2 linked regions of the Stegostoma tigrinum genome follow. The protein of the gene in region 2 purifies or fractionates together with the protein of the main gene of each other region. This does not show direct contact. Links are inferred from orthologs where the notes say so. Each region holds a gene or a part of one and is shown on either strand. Other genes may lie near its edges.

Region 1 (7,455 bases), on a different chromosome or scaffold from region 2:
GTGCAGGAAACAAATCTGGGACCTTGCTCGATCAAGTCCTAGAGACTTGATTCTTCAGGAATGTTGATATCTTCTGAAATATAGTTCTGGTCATAGTTTATACTCACATTGATATTGACCAAGGAGTGTTAACAAGGAGGTAACAATAGAACATGTCGACAATTGTAATATAAGAAGTCACCTGACAAAAGAGCAGTGCTCCAAAAACTAGTGATTTCAAATAATCCTGCTGGACTATAACCTGGTATCATGTGACTTCTGACTTTGTGTGTCCCACTCCAACACTGGCACCCCCATATTATTAATTTAAAATGAGCACAGACCCAACCTGCTCAACATTTCCTCATTAGTCTGATTCCTTAGATGAAGGCATCTGTCTTATGAATATTCTCTCATTATGAATATTCTCTCAACTGCTTCCAATGCAAGTATTTTTCTCTTAAGAAGACAAAAAACATACTGTAGTTCTAGTCTCACCAATGCCAGATACAACTGTGTCAAGACTTCCTGACAGTTCATTTTCCTTGTAATAAAGGCCAATGTTATCTTTACCTCCTAATTACAAACTGATCCTTTGTAATTCGAGTCAAAGAGCATCCACATTCCACTACACTGCAACATTCTACCGTCTCCCTCCTTCTAAATAATACTCTGCCTTTCTTCTAGCTGACGTGGACAATCTAATTTGCCCCACACTTCATGTCAAACTTTTGCCCACCAATTAATACCTCTTTATATCTTCATGACTAGCTTTCCTGTCTAACTTGTGTTGTCAGAAAGCATGGCTGCAATTGGACCCTTCAAGTCACAGGCAGATTGTAAGAAGTTAAGATCCCGGAGGTGATCCATGGCACTTCACTATTTATCCCAGCTCTCTCTGGCTACCCAGCCTCTTTCCGTGCTGTTGTATCACTCACAAATCATTTTATCTTGTGTGGTTCTTGTCAAATGCCTTTTGGAAATCCGAAATGATACCACTCTGTCCACCCTGGCTGTTACATCTTCAAATAACACACAAGCTTGTTAAAAATGCTATGCGTTGCACAAAACCATGTTGATTCTGCCCTATTATATTACAATTATCTCCATGCCCTATTGCTACCTCCTTGATAATGACAGCATACTATATTCTTGAGGTTATACTCACATCTGTATAACCATGACCAGTGCTATATCTTAAGATATCAGATGACCCTGAAGAATCAAGTCTGTGTCTTTAGAACTTGCATTTTATCAAACAGTTAATCCCTGAACACTATGGACAATCTAGCATAGCCAATCTACCTAATGACCACATCGTTGGACTTGTTCAAAAAAAGGACAAATCCCATCTGGCCAATTACTTTTCCAGTCGATATTACATTCCCAGTCTATCTTTGATCTTCAGGGAGGTGATGGAAGCTGTTACTGAGTAAATCAATTTGGCTGAAGACTGGTATCTGTGGGAAGAACTGGGATAGACCATTCACTCAGCACTGCAGTACAAATATAGATGAAATTGGTTCAGCCTCGTCTTTCACACAGATGTGCTGGGTCTTCCAGAATTGAAGATGGGTGTGTTTGTGAAGCTTCTGCTGCTCCGCCTCCTGTTAGTTCTTTAATTATTAATTATTCACAGCTGGAACAAAAGCAGGAATGCAGACACTAGATCTGTTGTTTGTGGGAATTACTTTGCTTGGTCTCTTGCAGCTGCTTCTGCTGCATGGTATATGTTTTAGCTTTCCCAGGCTGAAAATTTAATTTTAGATATGCTAGGTGCTCCTCCTGGAATGTTTTTTGTACCCTTCACTGAACCAGTGTTGATCTCACAGCTTAATGGTTATGGTGGAATGGGGATAGGTTAGTCCATGAGTTACAGGCTGTGATTGAATACTATTCTGCTGATGATGGCTGTCAGCACCTCCAATAGATAATAAAATGTGAGGCTGGATGAACACTGCAGGCCAAGCAGCATCCCAGGAGCACAAAAGCTGACGTTTCAGGCCGAGACCCTTCATCAGAGAGGGGGATGGGGTGAGGGTTCTGGAATAAATAGGGAGAGAGGGGGAGGTGGACCGAAGATGGAGAGAAAAGAAGATAGGTGGAGAGGAGAGTATAGGTGGGGAGGTCGGGAGGGGATAGGTCAGTCCAGGGAAGACGGACAGGTCAAGGAGGTGGGATGAGGTTAGTAGGTAGCAGATGGAGGTGCGGCTTGGGGTGGGAGGAAAGGATGGGTGAGAGGAAGAACAGGTTAGGGAGGCAGAGACAGGTTGGACTGGTTTTGGGATGCAGTGGGTAGAGGGGAAGAGCTGGGCTGGTTGTGTGGTGCAGTGGGGGGAGGGGACGAACTGGGCTGGTTTTGGGATGCGGTGGGGGAAGGGGAGATTTTGAAGCTGGTGAAGTCCATATTGATACCATTGGGCTGCAGGGTTCCCAAGCGGAATATGAGTTGCTGTTCCTGCAACCTTCGGGTGGCATCATTGTGGCACTGCAGGAGGCCATGATGGACACGTCATCTAAAGAATGGGAGGGGGAGTGGAAATGGTTTGCGACTGAGAGGTGCAGTTGTTTATTGCGAACCGAGCGGAGGTGTTCTGCAAAGCGGTCCCCAAGCCTCCGCTTGGTTTCCCCAATGTAGAGGAAGCCACACCGGGTACAGTGGATGCAGTATACCACATTGGCAGATGTGCAGGTGGACTGACCTATCTCCTCTCCACCCATCTTCTTTTCTCTCCATCTTCGGTCCGCCTCCCCCTCTCTCCCTATTTATTCCAGAACCCTCACCCCATCCCCCTCTCTGATGAAGGGTCTAGGCCCGAAACGTCAGCTTTTGTGCTCATGGGATGCTGCTTGGCCTGCTGTGTTCATCCAGCCTCACATTTTATTATCTTGGATTCTCCAGCATCTGCAGTTCCCATTATCACCTCCAATAGATACCCAGTTTTGACTTGCTAGATCTGTTTGACATACAACACATTTAACACAGTGGTAGTGTGACACAACATGATAGAGTGCATCTTTAGTGTCAAGACAAATTAAATTGTCTACAAAATTATTACAATAAACACAGGTTCCTCTCATCAGGAAAAAGATGAAGTGTTGCAACCTTACCAGTATTCGCAGTAAGATGGAATTTATGCCAGTTGAGATTCTCATTCACAACAGAAGAACCAATATTAAAAAGTAGAAATCAGCCTACACAATTCATCTCTGAACAACAGAGTAACTTACACCACATCTCCCGTTTTGCATGTGAACACTAAAGTCTGAGATAATCATTTATGAATACTATACATGGAAGAGTTGAAAAACAGTACAACCACAGAAGTTCTTTTCTATATCGGGTTTCTAAAATACGCTTGGTGTCATAAGCTCCCAAGGCAGAACGGAACTTGAACTGTATGGTAATGGCTGAAATGCCCCTCTATTTTCTTAGATTTAGAATTTTTATAAAGGCAGAGAAAGTATCCCTAGTGGACCTCTGGACAAGAAGGTGTAGGTTCAAGACCCACCCAACTCATGAGGTGTGTCAGGACATGTCTGAACAAGGTGATTAAAATAATGATTTTCTCAGACTTTTCCCGCTAGTGCGTGCGGTTTAGTGGACTGATATGAAGTTTGATTGCTGCAAAATAAAAAGCTGGTCAAAATGGAGGTGTTTTTATCTCCTTCCAATTTCTACCTAGTGAACTTCTTCCGACCTCCATGCCCAAGGATTTGAAATAACTCTCAGACTCCAACAGTCACACAGAGAGTTTAAATGGGGCAATCTTAGGAAATGTTTAGGGAGGACTAAAGGCTGCACCCAAAAAAAATCAGATCAAAATTCACAGACTGTGTACAACTCCAGGAGGCCTACTTTCTCTATCTGTTTGGGTTCAGTGAAGCATAGCTATGCAGAGTGGTTCCGCACAAGGCTTCTGTGCCAAGAGATGATGTAAACCAAAATAAATTGCTTATGCCCAAATGAACTTTTGCATTGAATCTTGGCATCTTAAGATGAAAACTGGCTTCTATGTTTCCTATATTGCAACGGTAACCAAACTTCAAAAAGTGCTTCATTGGTTATAAAGTACTTTGAGACATCTGGTGGTCATGAAAGCAGCTACATAAGATGAAGGGTCTAGGCCCGAAACGTCAGCTTTTGTGCTCCTGAGATGCTGCTTGGCCTGCTGTGTTCGTCCAGCCTCACATTTTGTTATCTTGGAGTCTCCAGCATCTGCAGTTCCCATTATCTCTCACATAAATGAAAGTCACGGTTTTTAAAAAATCCTGACTCTGAGAAGGATGTCGCCTTCACTTTCATGAAGTGATTGGGGAAGCGGACCCTGCCAATGAGCGCTGAGTTTAAATGCCTGTGCGATCTCCGAAAACCAATGATGTGTGGTGTTTGAGACGCCTTTGATTACCATAGAAACGGAATGAGCAGGCCCCTGTGTGGTTTTGTACAGATTTAGGAGTTGTTTTATAAATAAGTAGTCTGTGGGTTTGGTTGCTGTTTTTCGCCCAGTTTGATGCATTGAATGCCCAGCGATTTCTGGCATGATTTTCATATGCGGCGTTGTCTTTTTCCCGGTGCTTTGTCCGTAATAGTTTTAAAGTCGGACCCAGCCGTCGTCTCAATCCGCTCGTTTTAGGAATCTTTACAGAATAAGAATTTCCTGCGTCCATGGATTTAAATTTAAACCGCGTTGACTACCTGCAGGTTGTAGACGTGATTCCGTTATCACCTGGGTTGGAATAAGAGGCGCTAATAGCTGTTAAATCCAGTAGATGGAGAATAATTTTGACACCTTTGCCGTTTGAGGATGGGAGTGTTGGTAAAGATTTTAGTTAGTAAAGATAAACTAGCATACATATTGCTACACAAGTGCTGGATTTCATGAGAAGAGAATGTCTTGTAAACAAATTAGTTTCATGTTTAGAATTTCTGTTAGGTAATACTTAACAAATCTATGTGAAGTGAACTCCATTATTTCAGGCAATAGAATTCCAAGCAATGTCCTGGTCCCAAAGTTCATCTTCAGTTTGTATTACCAGAGGGATGATAAGGTCGCTGGAATTAGCACACTGACTTTGGAAGGAAGTGGAAGTTCCTGTTCCTGAGCCAGATTTGTTGACCATTGCTCAGAAATATAAATGTTGAACTTAGCAATCTTTTACTGTATACGTCCTATTATTGTGTCTACTTGAAAACATTAAGTTGGTATAAATTTGATACTGTTGTTCTGATTTCAATGATGTGATTAAATCATCCTCCTGCACACATTAGCTGAGATTTTTTTAACAGCCAGTCAAAAATCCTATCTCCCAAAAGAGCAATTGTAACTTCCAACTTACAAAAGTTGTACTTACTGTGGTGATAGCACAATAATGGTTATTTTGCAGGCTAGGTGGATTGGCCATGCTAAATTGCCCATAGTGTTCAGGGGCGTGTGGGTTATCGGGGTATGGGTCAGGGTGGGGTGCTTCAAGGGGTGGTGTGGACTTGTTGGGCTGAAGGGCCTGTATTCACACTGTTGGTAATCTAATCTAATCTAGTTCTTCTGATGAGAAAGGATGTATGACACAAAGGATCAGTAAAGATGCAAAAAGTTGTCAAGAAATTTAGGATGGTCTAATAAAGGGTGATTTTTTTTCTGTTGTATGAAGTAGACTGGGGCATCAAGACTCCTGTATCTGTAATGGGCTTGTGAAACTTTAGTAGAGTGTTACAGTTACACTAACGTTGGTCCAGTTTTTCTTTGACCCATCCCATAGTGTGGTGCATTCAGGGACTAGAATAATCAATGTTTATTTGTTGTGATGTTGCTGTAAGTAGCCCTTTTTTCTTCTCCTAGGTAGGAGTGACTTCCCAAAAGACCATGAGGCTGCTACCTGCATCAGGACGCAGAGCAATCCAAAAGGTTAATTCACATTAAGTTAACACATGTAACTTGTTTTTTCAGTTCCAGGCAAAAGTGTGGGAGAAAGGAAAAAAGATGTCCTATCCTTGATGTAGCACCACGTAGTTTTCTCAGCAGGGATGTTTTTACTGTATGTTGTGACATTATTGGAAAGCATATTTAAGTAGAAATTTGCATTTTAGTTTTATAATGGCCAAACAATAGACAGATCTTACAGCTAAGTGATCATATCTAAAGTCTGCAGGCCTATCACATGAACAGTGAATGATGCTGGACAAGTAAAAGAACTGGAGAAAGACAGTCTGCAAATATCTCAATCCAGCTCAGTGGTGGGGGAAAAAAAGACAAGGTTGAACCATGGCATATATCTTCACCCAGCAGTGCCAAATAGACAATTCATCTCGTTGTCCTCCTGAGGTCCCAATTAGTTTTCAGCTAATTTGATTCACTCCCGTGTGATATTGAGCAGCGACTGAAGGCATGGATAGTGCAAAAGCTACGGACCCTGACAACGTTCCAGCAACTGTGCTGAAGACTTGGGTACCAGTTTTAACTGTGCCCCTAATGAAACCATTCCATTATGTCTACATCATTGCCAGGTAGCTGCCAATGTGGAAAATTTCCCAGTTATGATCTGTCCACACAAAGGATAAATCCAATTCACTGAATTACTGCCCTTTTGGCCTCTCTCCATCATGAACAAAACGTTGGAGAGGTCACTCTCGCTGCTGTCAAATGGCACTTGCTTAGAAAATTCTTTTTGTTGAACCTTGGTTTGAGTTGCTCACGGGCTACAGAGCTCCTAACCTTATTACATCCTTGATCCCAAGATTGTCACAAGAGCTGAATTCTAGAGGTGAGGTCAGAGTGATTATCAAGTGCAGCCTTGATGTTAAGGACAGTGTGTGGTGTCAAGATGTCCCAGCAAAACTGGCTTCAATGGGAATTAGAGCCACGTCTTATACAAAGGAAGACACTTGTTGTCGGAGATCAATCATCTCAGTCCTGGAGTAACATTAAAGGAGTTTTTCAGTTTAGGTGTTTTCCAATCAGTCTGTTCAGGGATATTATTAAACACTTTCAAAGCAGGTGACATTTGATCCCAGATCTCTCGGCTCGAGGTCGGGACACATCCACTGTAACTCCAGAGATCTTAGTTCCTCAAGCTAATGCCTTAGTCCCAACAATCTTCAGCTGTTTTAGCAATGATCTTTTTGCCACCATAATGTCAAAAATAGGGATGTTGCTGCTAATTGTACGACATTTAGCAGCATTCACAACTCGAGATACTGAAATAGTCCACGTGCAAATGCAACAAGACCTGGACATCATCCAGGCTTGAGTTGATTAGTGGTAACATGCTAAGCACTTATGTGGCATGAAACAATCATCTCTAACATGGGAGAATTTAACCATCTCCCCTTGGCATTCAATGACCTCATCATGACAAAAATTGTGACTGTCCACATCCTGGGGTTACAGCTGACCTGAAACTAAACTGGTTTAGCCATGTAAATCCTGTATTCACAAGAGCAGTTGGGAATTGTGAGGCATAACTCACCACGTGTTT
Region 2 (8,080 bases):
AAAGAGTTTCCTCCACCATCAAATGCCTACAGTCTACTGCTTTTGATCTGTTTAAAATTTCATTATACACATCCTATTTCTATAACATGGTACAACCTGTTTCTAACTTCTATTTAGGACAACCATCTTATTCTAACACACGGATTTATACTTTTTAAATACATGTTAAATAGAGCTGCTACCCTCTTTAACAAACTTACAGTCAAAAGAGTGCTTTCATGAAACTGGATGAATGAATGTGTAGAAACTGTCAAAAAACAGCAATAGTGGGATGAAATCTCATGACCCAGCTACAGGAGATCAGTTTAATATCCTCTATAACTTTATTTAGTACACATATAATTTCTCACTTATTTAGATCATATAGGACTAATATTTTTCACTAACATTACTAACTTTAAAGACAAAAGGCCTCACCTCTTAATTATGCAAGCTCCGACTGGATAGACATTCTAATCCCATCAGGAGTAACAGTCAACATTTCACAAACACTTAACTATCTCCTGCTTCCCCAACCCAGTTGTCACACAAAATTGTGTACAATAAATACAACCATGTACAGCATAGTGCTAAAATTTTAATGCATGTAAAAACTGTGTATAAAGAGGCTACGGTAAAACTGTAATTTGGATTCCATTGCTGCCCCAAACTATGGCACTGCAGATGCTCAATAAAGAGGCTTTATTTGCCACTTACCAATCTCGGTTGCTGTTGAACAGGATCACACATCTCCAACCCTGGCAACATCCTTGTAAATCTTTTCTGAACCCTTTCAAGTTTCACAACATCCTTCCCAGACCAGGGAGACCAGAATTGTACACAGTATTCCAAAAGTGGCCTAACCAATGTCCTGTACAGCTGCAACATGATCTCCCAACTCCTATACTCAATGCACTGACCAATAAACGCAAGCATACCAAGCGCCTTCTTCACTGTCCTATCTACCTGCATCGCCACTTTTAAAGAACTATGAACCTAGACTCCAAGGTCTCTTTGTTCAGCAACACTCACCAGGACCTTACCATTCAGTCTATAAATCCTGCCCTGATTTGCCTTTCCAACAGAGAAGTATACTGAGGATTGACATTACAGAATCACAGGATCGTTATGGCATAGAAAGAGGTGAGTCTGCCAAACATGCTGGTACTCGTTCTATTACATAGTGCCAATCTCCTGCCTTTCCGCCCACATTCCTGCAAACCATTTCTATCTAAGCAATCATCCAGTGCCCTCTTAAATGGCTTTCTTGAACATGTTTTCATCACATTTGCACACCCTTACTACTGTTTGTAAATGTTTGTTACTCACTTTCTAACTTCATTTGCACAACACTTTAAGTCGTCTCATTCTTTTTTATGAGCAGGGATAGGCTCTCCCTATCAACTCTGTACAGCCCACTTATAGTTTTTAAACATCTTTCAATACAATGTGATTGCAACTAACAGATATTAAACTTCCACTGACCTAATTCAGAATCCCTGCTGCTGTTCTGATTTGTTGCTCTCATGTCTGTCTCCCATCTGGTTTCATTTCCTCAACAGAGTGGTGGCTACACTATGGTTTATAAAGCCTGAGTTGGCATCCACCTGGATACCCATGTTCAACCAGAGTGGCCATTGATAAAATTCCCACCTCTGATTTAGAATGTTTTAATTTGAAGCCCATTTCTAACAACCCTAACAATCGGTGACCACAGCATTGGCACTTTACAGTGGAATTGGTGTCCTACATCTGCAGTGGAATCCCAATGGATATACAGGTGACATTGAAAAGAGCAGAAGGACAAGACAGTTTAAATCAGGAAACAACAATTAGTCACTGTAGCATAGGAAGTGTTGAATCACATACAGGGGTTCCCAATTTATGAACATTTGACTGACAAATGCTCTTACTCGTGAAGGTGATCCCACTCAGTGGTTTAATTTTAAATATCTGACATATGAACTTTTCCTGTACTTAACTATGGCTGCTTGATATTGTCCTGTATTGTATTCTTACTTGCATACAAATTGACTTGTGAATAGACTCAGGAATGGAACTGTTTACGACCTGGCCACTGCCTGAATAGAGATTCCACACAGCACAGCTCAGAGTTACCAGAATCCACAGAGGTTTTGGGAATAAAAACCTATAGCCAGTCAATTGTATTTTTGATGAAAGGTCACAACCTGACACGTTAATTCAGTTTCTCTTTCCAAAATTGCTGAATGCTTTCCAAGAGTTTCCACCATTTTCTGTTTTTTACTTTGTCTCAGTGTGCATCCCGGGAATAGACTGTAGAACACGGAGACCTACCTCACAGATTTGCTTGGGACAAATCTTGACAAAAACTTTTGCAACTTTCTCCAGACATCCTTTGCAAAGGTACATTCCAGAAGGAAATGGATGATAGTGTCTACCCACCTCGCCCCACCATCTGCAGCTGCCTTAAAAGCAGTGTGCACTGATGCAGAGAATCGAGATATACATGAAAGATCCCACAGGTAATGTCCTTCTCAGCACTAGCCGAGCGATGTCTCAGAGTTTGTTGGAAAATTCTGGTTATGAGGCATTCTGCCAAATGACCTTGACAGTCTCCTCAGGGAACAACTAGATTTGGTATATTTATTTTACTCAAACTGCTTACGGGTCTCACTACACACCTTTGGAGAAGGTGGGTTCTTAGCCTGGGCCTCCTGGCTGAGAGTTAGGGACATTACAACTGCACCACAGGAGAAACTGCATGAACTGTTTTACAGGTGTTCAGAATCATAAAAATTTTTGATAGAATAAATAGGGAGAAAAGAGTATTGTATACCAGCCGGTGCAAATTTAAGATAATTATCTAAAGAGCAAAACGTGGCAGGAGATTTTCTTTTGCTGTGAGTTGCTATGATCTGGACTATTCTAACTAAAATGGTGGTTGAAGTAGATGCGATTGTAACTTTCATAAAAAAAATTGCATGTACACTAGAAAACATAAAAAAGAGAAAGAGTGGAGGATTTGGACCAATTGAATAGTATAAATGTTTTGACAAAATGTATCCAGCAATCATAAGATAGTATTTGGAAAAGCTTGCACAGGCACAATGGACTGAATGGTCTCCTTGTAAATTATTTTTCAATAAACCCATTTAGAGATGTTATTACATGCCTTGGAAGTAGGCAAGACTTGAATCCAGGTCTCTTAGCTCAGAGTTACAGACACTACCACTACACCACAAGAGCTCTTGTAATCTCCTCATATATTGAATGATTCCTCTGGTCTCTAAATCCTACACCAATGTGTTACTTCTATTGCAGGGAATCGTTCTCATGGGATTCAAGATAGCAAAAGTTTATAATTTTTTGCTTTTCACTTTTGCCAAAAAAAAACTTCTGATGCTGGAAATCTGAAACAAAAACAAAATTTGCTGGAAGAAACTCAGCAAGTATGGCATCATCTGTGAAGAAAAAGCAGAGTCAATGATTCAGGTCTAGTGATCCTTCACTGATAGCTTTCTCTGTACAGATGCTTCCAGACCTGTCGAGTTTCTCCAGCAAGTAGAGCTTCTTTTTTTAAAGAAAAATTAAAATCCTGGCTTCCTATCTCTGTGAAAGCAAGTAATATTTTTGCTTGCGTCAGTGCTATACATTGCAAGCTCTCATTTGCTGGAGTGACTTTGATAGGGAGAAGTGTAGTGTGGTGAGAGTGGAGACTGTAATCAGTACTTATGGGGAAGCTTAAGGTGTCTCTGGTGAAAAATCTGCTACATCTGTCTCCTGAGGGGAAGTGGAAAGACAAGGAGAAACATTTGGTGCTAAGCCCCAACTTCCTAGTTCACACATTGTCAAATGAACTGGTTGCGAGAAAATCACTGGTGTTCAGCCACGCACAGACTGTCGTGTCGGATGCTCAACTCTACATTGCCAGCCCATCAGTGAAAGATCCAGGCTAACAGAAGGCTGTTCCTTCAACAGAAAGTAGCACTAAAATGATAGTTGGCATCTTGGGATGGATGAGACTATCTGCAATGCTGGTCATCGGAATCTGGCTGAGGGATACTGATTCACTTCCAAGATCCAGTTAGCAGAGGAGACGGAGTGTAGCTGGGGTTTGTCACAGTCCCCTTCCCTGACTCCACCTGGTTCATGATAACAAAGTGTAAAGCTGGATGAACACAGCAGGCCAAGCAGCATCTTTGGAGCACAAAAGCTGAGGTTTCGGGCCTAGACCCTTCATCAGAGAGGGGGATGGGGAGAGGATTCTTGAATAGAGAGGGGGAGGGGGACCGAAGATGAATAGAAGATAGGTGGAGAGTATACGTGGGGAGGTAGGGAGGGGATAGGCCAGTCTGGGGAGGACAGAGAGGTCAAAGCGGCGGGATGAGGTTAGTAGGTAGGAAATGGAGTTGCGGCTTGAGGTGGGAGGAAGGGATGGGTGAGAGGAAGAACAGGTTAGGGAAGCGGAGACAGGCTGGGCTGGTTTTGGGATGCAGTGGGGGGAAGGGATGAGCTGGGCTGGTTGTGTGGTGCAGGTTTTGGGATGCAGTGGGGGAAGGGGAGATTTTGAAGCTTGTGAAGTCCATATTGATACCATTGGGCTGCAGGGTTCCTGCAACCTTCGGGTGGCATCATTATGGCACTGCAGGAGGCCCAGGATGGACATGTCGTCTAAGGAATAGGAGGGGGAGTTGAAATGGTTTGTGACTGGGAGATGCAGTTGTTTTTTGCGAACTGAGCGGAGGTGTTCTGCAAAGCGGTCCCCAAGCCTCCGCTTGGTTTCCCCAATGTAGAGGAAGCCGCACCGGGTACAATGGATACAATATACCACATTGGCAGATGTGCAGGTGAACCTCTGCTTAATGTGGAATGTCATCTTGAGACCTGGGATGGGGGTGAGGGAGAAGGTGTGGGGGCAAGTGTAGCACTACCTGGTTCAAGTTCACTTTTTCGAAACTCGTGCTGGTATTCAAGTAATACGTTGTGACATGTTTAGTTTTTTAATATTACAAAACGAGCTGAGGGAGGCTCGGGCTGAGTGCGTGTGCTCACGTGCGTGTGGGGGGGGGGCTCCAGTCACGTGGGCGCGGCCGCGTGACGCGCGCCGTTTCCTTGGTGATGAGTCTGGCGGTCCAGGCCGGGCCTGGTGGCAGGAGGAGGATCCATACCCTCTGTGTATTACAGCGGCATTGCCGTCGGGACCGCGCTCTTCCTGTACGACGATATGGTGGGTGCAATGTTAGAGACATCAAGGCTGTGCCGGTCCTGAAGCAATTCTTCCCCTTCGCGTTACACCCAACTTCCCACCCACTTCCCCACACTGCCCCCCCCTCACCCACTTCCCCACACTTCCCCCCCCCTCACCCACTTCCCCCCCCTCACCCACTTCCCCCCCCTCACCCACTTCCCCCCCCCTCACCCACTTCCCCCCCCCTCACCCACTTCCCCCCCCTCACCCACTTCCCCATGCCCCCCGCCACCCCCTCATCCACTTCCCCACACGCCCCCCCCACCCACTTCCCCACGCCCCCCCCCCACTTCCCCACGCCCCCCCCTCACCCACTTCCCCACGCCCCCCCCACCCACTTCCCCACGCCCCCCCCACCCACTTGCCCACGCCCCCCCCTCACCCACTTCCCCACGCCCCCCCCTCACCCACTTCCCCACGCCCCCCCCTCACCCACTTCCCCACACCGCCCCCTCACCCACTTCCCCACACCGCCCCCCCTCACCCACTTCCCCACACCGCCACCCCCCCACCCACTTCCCCACACCGCCACCCCCCTCACCCACTTCCCCACGCCCCCCCCTCACCCACTTCCCCACGCCCCCCCCTCACCCACTTCCCCACGCCACCCCCTCACCCACTTCCCCACGCCACCCCCTCACCCACTTCCCCACGCCCCCCCCTCACCCACTTCCCCACACCGCCCCCCCCCTCACCCACTTCCCCACACCGCCCCCCCCTCACCCACTTCCCCACACCGCCACCCCCCCACCCACTTCCCCACACCGCCACCCCCCCACCCACTTCCCCACACCGCCACCCCCCTCACCCACTTCCCCACGCCCCCCCCTCACCCACTTCCCCACGCCCCCCCCTCACCCACTTCCCCACGCCCCCCCCCTCACCCACTTCCCCACGCCCCCCCCTCACCCACTTCCCCACGCCACCCCCTCACCCACTTTCCCACGCCACCCCCTCACCCACTTCCCCACGCGCCCCCCCCACCCACTTCCCCAGATGCCCGCCTTCACCCACTTCCCAATGCCTGCCTTCACCCTCTTCACTCCTCCTTCCCCACCCTACTGTCTTCACTACTCCTCCTCCTCGCTCCTGCCGTCTTTCTTCCTCCTCCTCCTCCTCGCCCCGCCGTCTTTGCCCCTCCCTCCTCTTCCTCACCCCCGCAGTCTTGCCTCCCTCACTCCCCCTAGAGTGGACCCCAAGATGGGGTGTCCTTTCAATGGAGCGGGGATTCTGGTGGGCAGTACCACCCCTACCATGTCTGTGTGAATGGGCAGCTGTCAGTGTTGCTCGTGTTAAGAGATGAGGGAAAGACTGTAAAAATCTTTTTTTGTAAAAAAGCTGAAATGTTCAATATGCTGAAACACACTGGCAGCATCTATGGGAGGGAAACACAGTTAACTTTTCAGCTCAATCTTGTGTGTTCAGAACTTGGAAAAGTTTCAGGTGTTCAGAGTCAATACACTGTGGAGGTGGAGAAACACAAGCTGGTCAGGAGAAAGAATGTTGACATATCAGATCAGGACTGGGGAGGAGTAAGGGAGCTGGGAAATAAAGAGGGAGGTGTGGTGGGAGAGAGAGAGAGATAATGGGAACTGCAGATGCTGGAGATTCCAAGATAATAAAATGTGAGGCTGGATGAACACAGCAGGCCAAGCAGCATCTCAGGAGCACAAAAGCTGACGTTTCGGGCCTAGACCCTTCATCAGAGAGGGGGATGGGGGGAGGGAACTGGAATAAATAGGGAGAGAGGGGGAGGCGGACCGAAGATGGAGAGTAAAGAAGATAGGTGGAGAGAGTGTAGGTGGGGAGGTAGGGAGGGGATAGGTCAGTCCAGGGAAGACGGACAGGTCAAGGAGGTGGGATGAGGTTAGTAGGTAGCGGGGGGTGCGGCTTGGGGTGGGAGGAAGGGATGGGTGAGAGGAAGAACCGGTTAGGGAGGCAGAGACAGGTTGGACTGGTTTTGGGATGCAGTGGGTGGGGGGGAAGAGCTGGGCTGGTTGTGTGGTGCAGTGGGGGGAGGGGACGAACTGGGCTGGTTGAGGGATGCAGTAGGGGAAGGGGAGATTTTGAAACTGGTGAAGTCCACATTGATACCATATGGCTGCAGGGTTCCCAGGCGGAATATGAGTTGCTGTTCCTGCAACCTTCGGGTGGCATCATTGTGGCAGTGCAGGAGGCCCATGATGGACATGTCATCAAGAGAATGGGAGGGGGAGTGGAAATGGTTTGCGACTGGGAGGTGCAGTTGTTTTTTGCGAACTGAGCGGAGGTGTTCTGCAAAGCGGTCCCCAAGCCTCCGCTTGGTTTCCCCAATGTAGAGGAAGCCGCACCGGGTACAGTGGATGCAGTATACCACATTGGCAGATGTGCAGGTGAACCTCTGCTTGATGTGGAATGTCATCTTGGGGCCTGGGATGGGGGTGAGGGAGGAGGTGTGGGGACAAGTGTAGCATTTCCTGCGGTTGCAGGGGAAGGTGCCGGGTGTGGTGGGGTTGGAGGGCAGTGTGGAGCGAACAAGGGAGTCACGGAGAGAGTGGTCTCTCCGGAAAGCAGACAGGGGAGGGGATGGAAAAATGTCTTGGGTGGTGGGGTCGGATTGTAAATGGCGGAAGTGTCGGAGGATAATGCGTTGTATCCGGAGGTTGGTAGGGTGGTGTGTGAGAACGAGGGGGATCCTCTTGGGGCGGTTGTGGCGGGGGCGGGGTGTGAGGGATGTGTCGCGGGAAATGCGGGAGACGCGGTCAAGGGCGTTCTCGATCACCGTGGGGGGAAAGTTGCGGTCCTTAAAGAACTTGGACATCTGGGATGTGCGGGAGTGGAATGTCTTGTCGTGGGAGCAGATGCGGCGGAGGCGGAGGAATTGGGAATAGG

Evidence for each region. Proteins that work in one complex are often made in the same cells at the same time.
Region 1: the proteins of lztfl1 (region 2) and bbs7 purify together in Homo sapiens (affinity purification with mass spectrometry; 3 studies listed by BioGRID and IntAct, counting the BioPlex papers as one, with this or other methods). This does not show direct contact. The link is inferred for Stegostoma tigrinum from reciprocal best matches to the Homo sapiens genes LZTFL1 and BBS7.

The regions. Positions count from the first base shown.
Region 1 is NC_081354.1:36,654,515-36,661,969, forward strand, and holds the start of bbs7 (Bardet-Biedl syndrome 7 protein), read left to right. Parts: upstream 1-4,396; 5' UTR 4,397-4,648; coding exon 4,649-4,684; intron 4,685-4,692; exon of another isoform or gene 4,693-4,787; coding exon of another isoform or gene 4,788-4,799; intron 4,800-5,819; coding exon 5,820-5,885; intron 5,886-7,455.
Region 2 is NC_081355.1:13,060,535-13,068,614, forward strand, and holds the start of lztfl1 (leucine zipper transcription factor-like protein 1), read left to right. Parts: upstream 1-5,072; 5' UTR 5,073-5,185; coding exon 5,186-5,188; intron 5,189-8,080. UniProt on the Homo sapiens protein: Regulates ciliary localization of the BBSome complex. Together with the BBSome complex, controls SMO ciliary trafficking and contributes to the sonic hedgehog (SHH) pathway regulation. May play a role in neurite outgrowth. May have tumor suppressor function.